Linked DNA regions of Oryzias latipes. The protein of the gene in region 1 purifies or fractionates together with the protein of each later gene. This does not show direct contact. Links are inferred from orthologs where the notes say so. Each region holds a gene or a part of one and is shown in the gene's direction. Other genes may lie near its edges.

Region 1 (4,277 bases):
CACATCGTTGGGAATTATCTTTTATGTAATAGATAATACTTATAGATTAAAATTAAGATTACGCCATTAAAAAAAACAACAAAAACATGCCAGTTTGTCTGTGATTAAGAATAGTGCGTTAATTTGACATCTCCTAAATGCAGAATTAAGGATTTTAGTAAATTTGATCTACTACTGCCTTTTTTTACCTTAGTTTATAACTATTGTTATTTTTGATTATTATTACATGTGACTATTATTTCTGTTACCAGTATAAACATGACCTTAGTTTAAGGGGGCTGGGAAGATGCTGTATGAAAGAAACAAAATGCGTAAAAAATGTTTACCAAAAAAGAAAAGTGAAAACGAAAGGTTCCCAAACATCATACCTTTCATTTTATACTTTTTTATATAGTCGAAAAATCACACATACATGATGCATTTCAAAGCCTTTTTTCATTCACTGTTAATTTTCTTTGATCATTTTATTTATGTCTTTACTAATTGATTTGATGGAAAAGTGGATTTTTGCCATCTTTAGTAAAGTTACAAGTACTTTTCTCTACAATTTAGTTCAATGATTCATAAATATATCATCAGTTATTTTATTTTTTTCAGCTTGTTCTGTCCAAGAACTGAGCAAACGGATGAGAGCTGAAGGCCTTTTGTGTTGGACAGGTTTAGTATTACAAAAAGAGCTTATGTATCTTTGGATGATAGTATATTTACATATTCTTTTTATTAAATGGGAGGGAAAGGGGGAAAGTGTGTGTGTATGGGGGGGATTTAGAAGAAAGATAAAAGGAGAGAGAGGGGAGAGAGTGAGGGGATACAAGTGCCGAGTTGCTAATTTGAATAGGTTATTATTTTAAGCTGTGAAACATTCATGTTAGATCTGCTGGAGAGACAAATATTACATCCAAAAGTGAAATTCTGACACTAAGACAAGGAGAAGATATCTATCCATCAATACACTGTGTTAGGAGGAAGCAGACAGGGAGCAGTGTGCCAGTGTGCACGTTCATGTGGGGGTGGAGATACATGCACGCTGCCAAAGTGAACCATGTGATCATTAGGGGAACCAGATCCTCCCCACCAGTTAATTTTTTTAGTTAAAAAGTAATTAACTGTGAGGCTGCTTGCAAGTTCTTGAACGTTTTATACATTGATATTCTGTTTTATTTTCTCTTTCATCTTTCCTGAATTAAATGTGCTGCATTATGTCAGATCTAAGTACTAATAACATTTTGTTTGTTTTGGTTTTTTCTCATTTAAATCATATACATATAATAAAGTATATGGTTTAAATACAGTGGATCTTTTGTTTGGTTGTATCTCTTAAATCAACCAGTAGAGAGCGTACCAAGCAACACCAGGCATAACGTTTAGGGTAGGAACCTTTCTTTCGGCTACAGAGAAACGGGGAATGTGTTACTGACGGACTGTTGTGAAAGAGAAACGGGGAATGTGTTACTGACGGACTGTTGTGAAGGGAAATTGCAAAGGAAATATTTCCATGCTGGAATTTAAGTATGAAAATGTACACAATTAATTGAATATGGGTTTACAGGTTTTTTAATTTCTAGGGATATAATTTTTCTAAAACGCTTAACGCTGGAATTTAACACCCAAAGTCACAGCTCGCTCGGGTTTGTTTACATCGGTTTTAAGCTGTTTTGACTGACTGTGAATAATCATGTGGGGTGAAATCATCGAGCCTCCGGTAAAAACCCATCCAAGTTCACATGAGAGCGAACCGGAGAGTAAAGAACCGGCGAAACCTGTGGACTTTCCACGGAGATGCGACCAGAACAGACAGACGGAAACCCGGCAGCTCCCACGAGACTTTCAGGTAAGACGTTCTGCATTCATGTACAACATCTTCAGACATTTCCTGGTTTGAAGCTGCGCTAACGCTGCTGTTGCTCACAGAGCGAGTCCAGCTGCGTGAACGCCATGCTGACAGACGTGGCCATGAGCGGCAGCCAGGTGAGGAGCCAGCAGATCGGGGAGGCTGAGCTGAGCCTCGGGGAGCGCAGACAGGAGCTGCTGCAGCAGTTCCGCAGCAGGCCGCTGGTGTTCCTGGAGAGGTACCACGTGAGTTTCTGGCGGAGCCTCGGTCGGTCCGGCACACAGCGGCGGACCTGGCAGTTTGGGGGCTCCAAGGGGCAAGCAAGGAAACACTGATGTCTGCAGGAGTAGATGGATCATTATTTTTAATCCTTACCTAGGGTAAAACATCAAATAAATGTAGGAAATGTCATAAAAAATGAATTCTAGAAGTGTAAAAAACACACACAATTTCAGAATTAGACTGTTTCCATTAAATGATAATTATGCGAATAAACATTAACCATCTCCCGCGATAAGTCATTCAAAAATATGGCAACAGATGTAAACAATACTCTGATTTACAAGCTCCTTACATGTGGGAGGGGCTACGGATAAAGCGATTTTGGGATTTTACTGAGGAGCTGTGGATCCAACAATTCCGCATGACACGCTAAACTTTTGGTGAGCTTCGTGATGCTGTGGGGCCTCCTGTGGCGCCTGCTGTGCAGCCTGTTCCTACCAAGGAGCGCATCGCCATCACCATCTATCTGAATCATTTGATTTAAAAAAAAAAAGTGGTTCCATTGCAGTTTTGCGAAACATGTCAATTTTGCTAAGCCTCAAAAACCACCTCCTCCAATCGAAAAATGTTTTATGGATAAATGTGTGTTTTTTCTAAATTGACATGTTTACATTAGGCGTATTTACGATCACAAATCGAATTTACACAATTTCATAGTAAGTGAAAAGGCACCCGGAGAGAGCAATCTGACGAGAAGCAGAGCCCACAGTGTGGCAGGGCTCACTGCATCAACACAGTGTCATTGAACAGAAAGTGTGCAAAATACAGAGATTTTAAGGATAAAATGCATTATTAGAACAGATTAGATGACATATTTATTTTGTTATTAGCATACATTTCATGATGACAGTTGAGGATGATGACAGGTGAGGTACTGCAGTAAGGAACTAAAAACCTCTGAACTGACCACAAACTTGCCCAAATTGTAAATTCTAACCAAAGGAATTTTTGCCAGAATGTAAACCGCCAAACTTGGTGGGAAATCACCCAATCTGGCAACACTGCTTTCACCGCTGCTCAGATAACAGGGCTTCCTCTTAGGGTCTCTCTTTACATAAGCAGCAAACTTGCTCATCAGTCACCAAATTGCTGTTGATGGAATAGTCCATTGCTTCACAGTTACAGGGGTGGTCGAAACACATTGACATGAGCAGTCTTAGGCCATTTCAGTCATTTGGGTTTTTATGATAGAAATAAAGAATAATGGGCGATACGTTTTTTTTAAATATTTTCAATAATTGTTCAATCAGTTGCCTACTTTTGGCTAACAGTAAGTCAAAAGCCCCTGCCTGTGTGTGCAGCGGGAAAAGCATGAATAAGCCCATGTTTGCATTAATCCTCCACAAGCACGAACCATGGTTGTATTTATGTTTAGGAGTTTGCAGTTAAATCATTAAAGGTTTAGAGTTTACAGGATCCTTTAGATCAATTCTTTTTTTTTTTTTTTTATGTTTTATTTCCCCCAAATTTTAATTTTACTCATTTAACCTTTAAATACAGCAGGGGATGTTTCCCAAAGGACTGGCCCCTTCAGTTACAAAAAGCAGAATCAAAGTGACCATAAACAAATGGATCAGAAAACAATAAATTGCCAATTTCAACAAAACCAAGATTAAATAAAAGTCATAGGAATGAAAAAAACTGAACTTAAGAATTTTAAAATAGATAAAGTAGGTCTGATCTGAAGATGGGGTTCATTCCAAGGTGTGGGTACACTTAGTTTTTTCTAAAAATACAGATCTGACTTGGTGTAACATTTTTACACAAGGAAACTTTTGAGTGTTATAGTTCTAAAGGCAGTTTTATACAGTCTTTAAAACTGTGTTCCCCCGTTTCCAGGCCTATCTGAAGCCCGAACACCTCCCTGTGTTTTCCCACGTCAGCTCCGACCCCAGAGCCCAGCACTACAGCAATGTGGTGCGGACGCGAGCGGCCTGCTGCACCAGCAGAACCAGAGTCAGAAACCACCGCTACGCCGCTCTCCGAGCTCTGCAGAAAGGTACGACACGGGCTTTCCTCTCCATGATGGACGTCTGTTTGTTTGTGCTGATGATATCACGGCCCGTCTTCTCGCAGAGGGAAAGTATTTCAGTGAGGAAGAGATGCGCAGGAGAGAGCCTCTGCTGTACGAGCAGTACATTGGCCAGTACCTGACCGATGACGA
Region 2 (3,784 bases), on another chromosome or scaffold:
ATCAGAAAAAAATCCACAAGAAAGACTTGTTAAAAACACAATTTTCTATTGAATAGGTCTTTAAATTGTCATGCAAGCTTTGCTAGATAAATATTTGGACTTTATTTGTTCAGGCTTGCCTTGAAATTTTTCATTTCTAATATCATGTTAACTCAAACTACTTAGCTAAATACGTTTTTTTCTATTGTCAGTCCTACAATGAGTTTATTATTATTATTACTTTCTTATATATTTTTATGACTTCACAATTTTTGTCGTAACTATGGTCAAAACTTAAACAATTTATCCAATCGGACCGTCAGCAGCTAGCACAGTCCGCTGGCTAAGCTAGGTTAGCCATTGAGGACGGGTTTCTGTAAACGGGCGTTTTGCGAATAAAAAAAAACAACTAAAGTCAATACGAGGAGTTCGGCTATCGTTTTGGTTTACAAAAAATGTTAAACTAAAACTCACCCGTTTATTCATCTCAGACTAAGAAAGCTCTCCTCGCCGAGTTGGTCTTCAACCGTCGATCTTTTTCCACGTCGCGAGACTTCAATAAAACGTCCCTTCTAGATTTTCCTCGAGAGACGCCAGTTTGCCGTTGGAAAAACTCCCGCCGTAATCTGCAACCGTTACCGGACCGAATCATCAAATCCCACATGGCGCCTGCGCACTAATACTTTTTCTTTTCTTTTCGTTTCTTTAACCCATAACCTGTTAATTGCAGAAAATAAAAGCACAACAGTTCAACAAATCATTACCCCATGTTGATTTGTTTTCTCATAATTTTATGACTTTATTCTCATGTCGTCGTTTATTTTTCCTCTTTTATATTGTAATACTTTATCACAATTCTATTTAATATTCTATATATAGTTTTTTTTCTCCGAACATTTTAGAGAAAAAATATTTTTTATTTGTGGTTAGATTTATAAAGGTGATTGTCATCTCGCTTTTTTTTTAAATGTCACAAAAGAAGAGGAATCGAGTACTTTGAATTAAGATCTTTTTTAGACTGTATTTTTTTAAAGAAATTAAAAGCACAGCTTTGTTTTCTGTTTGTTTTTTTATGAGAGATGGTTATTTTTACTAACTTCCCCCTCATAAATATGTATAGAATTTGGATTTTATCTTTAAAGAAAAAAAAGACACAAAAGGGGAGTAGATTCATTTTAACGCCAAAACCCCAATTGTGGGTAAACAGGTCAAACTGCAATTCTAACTAGTGCTCAAATCTCCAATATTTTTCTCCAAAAAAGTTAAATACATAGATTTTGTCAGTGTAGGGAATTTCCTAACACAAAAATGACAAAAAAAACTGTTTTGCATTTTATTGATGTTTATAAGTAATTTTACTTTTCCCTACACATATATCTCATTGCACAACACTTTGATGAGAGAGGTACACATAAGTCTTTTTATTTCTTGTGTCTTGTGAAACCACAAAACCACTTTCATGGCCATGTTGATTTTTTCTAGGTCAAAGAACAGAATTACAAAGAAATTTAAAAAAAGTTGTGTTAATAGTATCTCAAAATGTGTGTGATTCCTCTTTTAACCACACGAGGGAAGCACATGCCTATTGCTGTACCTATTGGTATTATCCGTTAACCGGATGTTCGTCTTCGTTTTGTCCCTCCATTTCCTGGTGAAGGCTAAAGGCATTGCGTGTTTGTTGTTTAGCTATTGTTCAGACGAAATAAACTGTCATCATGGCTATGCAAGCTGCGAAACGCGCTAATGTAAGGTCAATTTTTGTGTTTAACTTTACTATATAACAACGAGTATATGTTAATATGGTTTTTGGTGCTCACGAAAGGGACAATTAGCCCTCCGTTAGCCTTTAGCAGCTATTGGTTACTAAAAGATAGCGTCGCTACGTAAAAAAATTAATAAATACGGCATTTTGAAAATGAGATGGTAAAATTGATTGTTTTGTCATCTTAAAATTTTAAAGAATTATTATTGTTTTAGCACGTTAGAGGGTACACTTTAGTGAAGAATTCTTATACCGTTTGTTTACATGCTAGTCTTTCTGTTACACATTTCTTTTTTGTGTGCTGCAGATTCGGTTACCTCCAGAGGTGAACAGAATCCTATACATAAGAAATCTGCCTTACAAGATCACGGCTGAGGAAATGTACGACATTTTTGGCAAATATGGACCCATACGTCAAATACGAACGTAAGTGTTTTGTCTTCATACCTTCAGTTTTATTTGTTTATTTTTAATTTAAAAAAATGTCTGTCCTAAACACACAACCACGTCTACTAACAATGAATATATATAAATGTAATTTTTTTACATGGTAGTATTAATGAGAAGCAAAATTTATTTAAAAAATCGTTTCATTCCAAACTGTGGTGTAGCATTTGCTTAAATTTGACATTTAAATCATTATTAATCATATTAAAAATGCTTGTTTTGTTTGTTCCCCTCACATGTTATCATCATTTAAGAGTCCCTCTTAGATCACTTTTTCATATGTTTTCAGACAATAAAATAAATATGTAAATAAGCTCAATATTCTTTCATATATGTTGTCCTTCATCAGAAAAATGCCATGAGAAAATGTTTTAAAACAGTTTTCATCAGAGTGGGTCTTTAAGGACAATATTATTATGGAACAGGTTAAGATGTGTGACCATTTCATGCTTTTGCTGTATTTTAGGGGTAACACACCTGAAAGCAGAGGAACGGCGTATGTTGTTTATGAAGACATATTTGATGCCAAGAACGCTTGCGATCACCTGTCAGGCTTCAACGTCTGCAATCGTTACCTGGTTGTTCTTTACTACAACGCCAACAGAGTACGTATGCTTTTTATTTCATCCATTTACAACCTTTTTGGTTCCTTGTTTGTTTGTTTTTTTCTGTTTACCATCAACCCGCTCATATTTTTGCAGGCTTTCCAGAAAATGGACACAAAGAAGAAGGAAGAGCAGTTGAAGCTCCTAAAAGAGAAATACGGCATCAACACAGACCCTCCCAAATGATCTCCACGACTATCAAAACCTTCTCACACACCTTAGATTTCTCTGTACCTGTACAAATGTTCCCTTTTTTGAAAATTTTTGCTTGGTCAGGTTTTTGTTTTGGTGCTTTTGTCAACCTTTTATGCATGACCTGCCGTCTGCTTTTTTTAAAAATGACTTCTCTGATGTTAATTGAGCTTTTAATTTGAAGTGAAACCAGGCATGTTTTCAGTTCAGTTCTTTCCCCCCCCCCCACATAATTTTATTTGAAAGTTAACAGGTCTCTGCCTTGTGCTCCAAGAACATCAATGGATGTAATGTTTGTTTAAACCCATTTATTGTAAAATAAATGTCTCTTTTTCTTTAAACCCATTGTCTTTTGTTTTATAAACACCACATATGAACTCACTTTACTCTTGTTTTGTAAACCTGTCACATCAGCTAATTTTTCTTTTTTCCCCCACATTTACACACAAACAGAAAAGTATCTTTTGAGAAGCTGACCGTCATTCAGTCTTTTCCGTCCATCCATCTTAACCTGCTATATTTGTTGCTGGAGCCTATCCTAGCTGTTGTAGGGCAAAGGTGGGGTACACCCTTGTTTACGGAACAGTCAGCCAGAGGACCTGAGAGCTGCAGAGAGCATAGCTGCTTTTAAGAAAAGCTTCAAGACCCATCTTTTTCAACTGCCTTTTAGCAAATGTTTTAATAGTTTTTATTTATTTTGAATTCTTTAATTTATCCACTTTATCATATTTTATATTTTTACATGGGACTATCCATTTGTTTTAAAATTCCTCATTTCACATTTTATTGTTAAGTATTA
Region 3 (4,174 bases), on another chromosome or scaffold:
ATTATTTATAAACTTTAGTGATGTTCTTCCTTTAAAATGGAGCTTCTTTTAAAAAAAAAAAAGGAACGAGGTTGTTCTGTTTCTTATTCTGTGTCATAAATAGCATGAAAGAAATTATAAAATATTGGAATCACTGAAAAATATTGTAACTTTACTTGATTTATGTAGCACATTTAGTAATACTGACGAAGCAGGGTTTTTTGCACACGTGAATACATGGCCACTGGTCACATACTGACATCTGAAAACCATCAGACCATTCCTGTCTAATGTAAAACTTTAATGTAAAAATTTAAAAAAACATTCAACCTCCTGAGAACCGAGGAAAAAAAGTGTCTTACAATTCCTGTTTTTATGTGATTTCCTATCTATTTAGGCCTAGAACACCTAACAATTTTAATTTTTTTAAAAATATTTTTTATTGTAGATAGAAGACAACAGGATGATATTTCTGTGAAAATAGAGATCAATTTGGAAAATCAGAAAAAAGGAGCAGATTAAATCTTTAGAGTGATATTCACCCAAAAAACATTAGATGATCCTCGAAAATATTGTTATCGATGTACTGTGAAAAGTACGAGATTGGACTCCAGTATTCACAAACTTTGGGGTCATCTTGAGCGGGGCGCCCTGCTAGCACAGGTGTAAACCTGTGATGATGTACGTTTAAAAAACACAAAAAAAATCAAGTTAATAAAAAAAGCAGTTTTTTTTTTTTCCATTTAAACATAGTACAAACACTACAATGTTCTAACATGGTCATAAAATGTAAGACATTAGCCTGAAACTAAATAAAACATGCAAGTTAGTCCTGGTCCACAGAGCACGAAGACTTTGCTGCACCTTCTCTGACTCATCAGATTCTCCTGAATTATCATCTTCTTCATCTTCATCATCACCTATCACAGACTGAATCTCACCCTCCTCATCCTTTTCATCATCCGAAAGCTCCAAATATGAATCAACCTTCGACTATCTGGTACAGAATCCTCTCAGCTTCACTTCTTTCACCTAAAAATAATGTGTAGCCATTAAATAGATTAAAATGGTCCTGGTGTCCACTACAGTTGACATTCATTAAATGCCTGCTGTTTTAAAACCGAAAACCTGAAACTGTTTTCAGATCTAAAAATATTGTTCCTAACCTGTTTATGACCAAGAATATATATAATTATCATTGTAAAAAAAAAAAAAAAAAGGAATAGATACAGAATATTTGACTTGCCTTTCACCTTTCCATAAAATGAGGTTTTATATGTCGTTCACTTTGGTGTCCACCTTTACCATCGCGTTAGGAATAAAAAGTCGGAACAAAAAAAACACCGTCTCGGTTTCTCACCGGTTTGTTAAGTCGAAGGCAAACCGGAAGCCAGCTTCTGCTCGTCGCGGTGTGTTCGGACGGACGCAGTTTTTATCATCTTTTTCAAGCTTCACCTGTTTTTCAAACCCGCGCTTTTCAAGTAAGTTGACCTTTTATATGTATATCATCGATGGCCACATGGAAGTTGCACCGCTGGCTACGAGAGAAACTAAAGTTCAGGAGTTTAAATAGGTTATTAGCCGAGACCCAGGCTAATGATATAGGATCAAGCTAACAAAGTAAAATGTAACTTTGTTTTAAAGGGATAGTCGTGCTTTCAAAAACGGTCATATACCATAAATGGTAAATATCTGCAATAAAGTATGACACGATTTTATTTAATTTCTGGTAGTTGTGCATTATATTGATTTTCCTCATGGGAAAATTATCCATTGACTCTCCGAGGAGTCCTTTCCTTAAGACCAGAATTTCTAGCAGTTTAGCTAGGCTAAAAGGTTCAAATCTGCATAGCTGTGAGAAATCCGTCGTTTTCCTGTAATTCTAACAAATCAGTCATGCCTTTGTTTTTAATTTGTCACACTAATTCAAAACTTGTTTCATGTTATTGAAAGGGATGATAATCTAAGAAATACAGAATTTGTTGGTGTGCAAACAACAAAACAAAGCTTTTGTATTTCATTATGTCAAAGTAAACTGCATATGATCTGGAGAAAAGGGACGTAAGAAACATAAGGGGAAAAGTCTGTATTAGACATTCAACTCTACGGTTTATTAATATTTTTGTTTTTACTGAATATTTTATTTTGATGTTTATACACACCACTGCAAAGTATAGTAATTTAATAATTATTCTACTTCTACACTAGTTTAATAATAGACTGGTGAATGGGTATGTGTTCAATGTGTCCTATAAGATTTTTGTGGGGATGCTGGGTAAGTAAAGGATAATAGCTGACAAGGTGTCTTGACAGTTTAAGCTTCCTTGTCGTCCGTTAAAAGACGGATAATGACCTTTGAGGTGTCCATTATCAGAAATTATACCATGGTACGGGTGAATACTCAATTCTGATTGGCTGCTGAGTGTGCATTAAAAAAGTGATAACCGCACGTCTAAAAAAAGAAGTTCCAGTTACATTGCTTAGATGTTCTGTGTCACTGCGCCGGCTTTTTTAAAACAGACATTTGTTTCATCATCTGGATAAAAACAAGCGGTGAGCGGTGAACCTTCATTCTGAACTGATGCTTTAATTTAACATACACCATCATGACGATCAGCTTATTTATGGCTTTTACTGCTGCAGTGGAGGTCGGTGCCAGCTCAGCGTGTTGTCATGTTACGGTAACGTGACAACACGCCACACCATGTTGCAAAAAGTCCGCTTTTTTTGAAAAAAGCAACGTAAACCGAAAAAATAACAAGAATAAATGACTAAAAACTGATTGAAAATGTATTTGTTTTGTAAGTGACCATGGTAAAAGCAGGATAATCAACGCACTAATAATCAACGGAAGCATCGGGCAGTTTGGGTTTCCACGGCGTGCGTTAATTTCTGGCAACGTATACTTTGTTGGTGACTATCCCTTACTTAATCCCCACTCAGCAGCCAATCAGAATGGAGCATTCACCTGGACCATGGTATAACTGACATTCATTGATATATTTGAAGTTTAGCAGTTGGATGTGGTAATCTTTACTTTCAGATGCTCCCCACTCATTGGAGAGACACATAATAGAATTTTATAGGCTTGTGAAGTGTATTTACCATTAGCCATGTTTATAACATTTGCTTCTTAAAGGTTTAATTTATTTACATGTACCACCATATAATATAAAAAAGGCATTATTTTGAGTTTTTTTTTCCTTCAAATTATTTTGTTTTTATCTTTGAATTGTAATTTTCCTCACAAATGTCACAAGAATAACTAAAACCTTCTTGTTTATGAGTTTATCTGACTGGATCGTCTGTTTGCTGAAGCACAATTCAAATCTCTGATTTACTTTCTTTCTCCCAGAGCCTGTTGACTGATCTCAGAGAGAATGACTGACCGATACAATATCCACAGTCAGCTGGAGCATCTCCAGTCCAAGTACATCGGAACAGGGCATGCTGACACTACCAAATGGGAATGGCTGGTGAACCAGCACCGTGACTCTTATTGCTCCTACATGGGTCATTTTGACCTGCTCAACTACTTTTCCATCGCTGAAAATGAAAGCAAAGCTCGTGTTCGCTTCAACTTGATGGAGAAGATGCTTCAGCCATGTGGACCACCTGCAGACAAACCCGATGATGCATAAAACACAGCCCAACCAACTGCTGCAGCTTTTTTTCCCTCTTACCTTTTCTTTTTTTCAGTTTTGGACGGTTGTTTGTTTCTAACCTTGAGGTCAGAGCAGCCAGTAAAATCTGGTATTCATGTGTTCACTGAAGCTATTCTCACTTGTTTGATCGGTGAATACATTAACTGTAGTGCTTTCAGGAAACGAATGAGAATGACGACACCTGAACTTATCCATTTCAGAAAATGTTAAAAATGTCCAATATGTGCACAATGTTGAACTGTTGTATTTCTAATGAAAACATTATTTTTCCTTTGGTTAAGCTCTTTCACTGATCATTTTATTCTGGAAATATGTCAGTTTTCTAAAACGCATTTAAAAAAGTGAGAACGTTTAAATGAATAAATCATCCAAACAAGACGTTTTATTGTAAAAAGAAAAAGACCAAAGTCATCCTTAGGACTTTGTTGAAGGAGCAGCAATGGCTATAGCAGTGGTTTTGTTTTTGCTTAAAATATATGATTTTGTTTTTTACTTTTTACAAATGCCTTCAAAAATAATGCATCTTTAGA

What was found.
Region 2: the proteins of ccdc97 (region 1) and sf3b6 purify together in Homo sapiens (affinity purification with mass spectrometry; 3 studies listed by BioGRID and IntAct, counting the BioPlex papers as one, with this or other methods). This does not show direct contact. The link is inferred for Oryzias latipes from reciprocal best matches to the Homo sapiens genes CCDC97 and SF3B6.
Region 3: the proteins of ccdc97 (region 1) and sf3b5 purify together in Homo sapiens (affinity purification with mass spectrometry; 3 studies listed by BioGRID and IntAct, counting the BioPlex papers as one, with this or other methods). This does not show direct contact. The link is inferred for Oryzias latipes from reciprocal best matches to the Homo sapiens genes CCDC97 and SF3B5.

The regions. Positions count from the first base shown.
Region 1 is NC_019866.2:18,440,743-18,445,019, forward strand, and holds the start of ccdc97 (coiled-coil domain-containing protein 97), read left to right. Parts: upstream 1-1,352; 5' UTR 1,353-1,675; coding exon 1,676-1,831; intron 1,832-1,911; coding exon 1,912-2,076; intron 2,077-3,952; coding exon 3,953-4,112; intron 4,113-4,189; coding exon 4,190-4,277. UniProt on the Homo sapiens protein: May play a role pre-mRNA splicing through the association with the splicing factor SF3B complex which is involved in branch-site recognition.
Region 2 is NC_019882.2:13,000,171-13,003,954, forward strand, and holds sf3b6 (splicing factor 3B subunit 6), read left to right. Parts: upstream 1-1,571; 5' UTR 1,572-1,694; coding exon 1,695-1,724; intron 1,725-2,048; coding exon 2,049-2,167; intron 2,168-2,654; coding exon 2,655-2,793; intron 2,794-2,889; coding exon 2,890-2,979; 3' UTR 2,980-3,258; downstream 3,259-3,784.
Region 3 is NC_019873.2:17,221,572-17,225,745, reverse strand, and holds the start of sf3b5 (splicing factor 3B subunit 5), read left to right. Parts: upstream 1-1,335; 5' UTR 1,336-1,460; intron 1,461-3,334; 5' UTR 3,335-3,359; coding exon 3,360-3,620; 3' UTR 3,621-4,174. UniProt on the Homo sapiens protein: Component of the 17S U2 SnRNP complex of the spliceosome, a large ribonucleoprotein complex that removes introns from transcribed pre-mRNAs.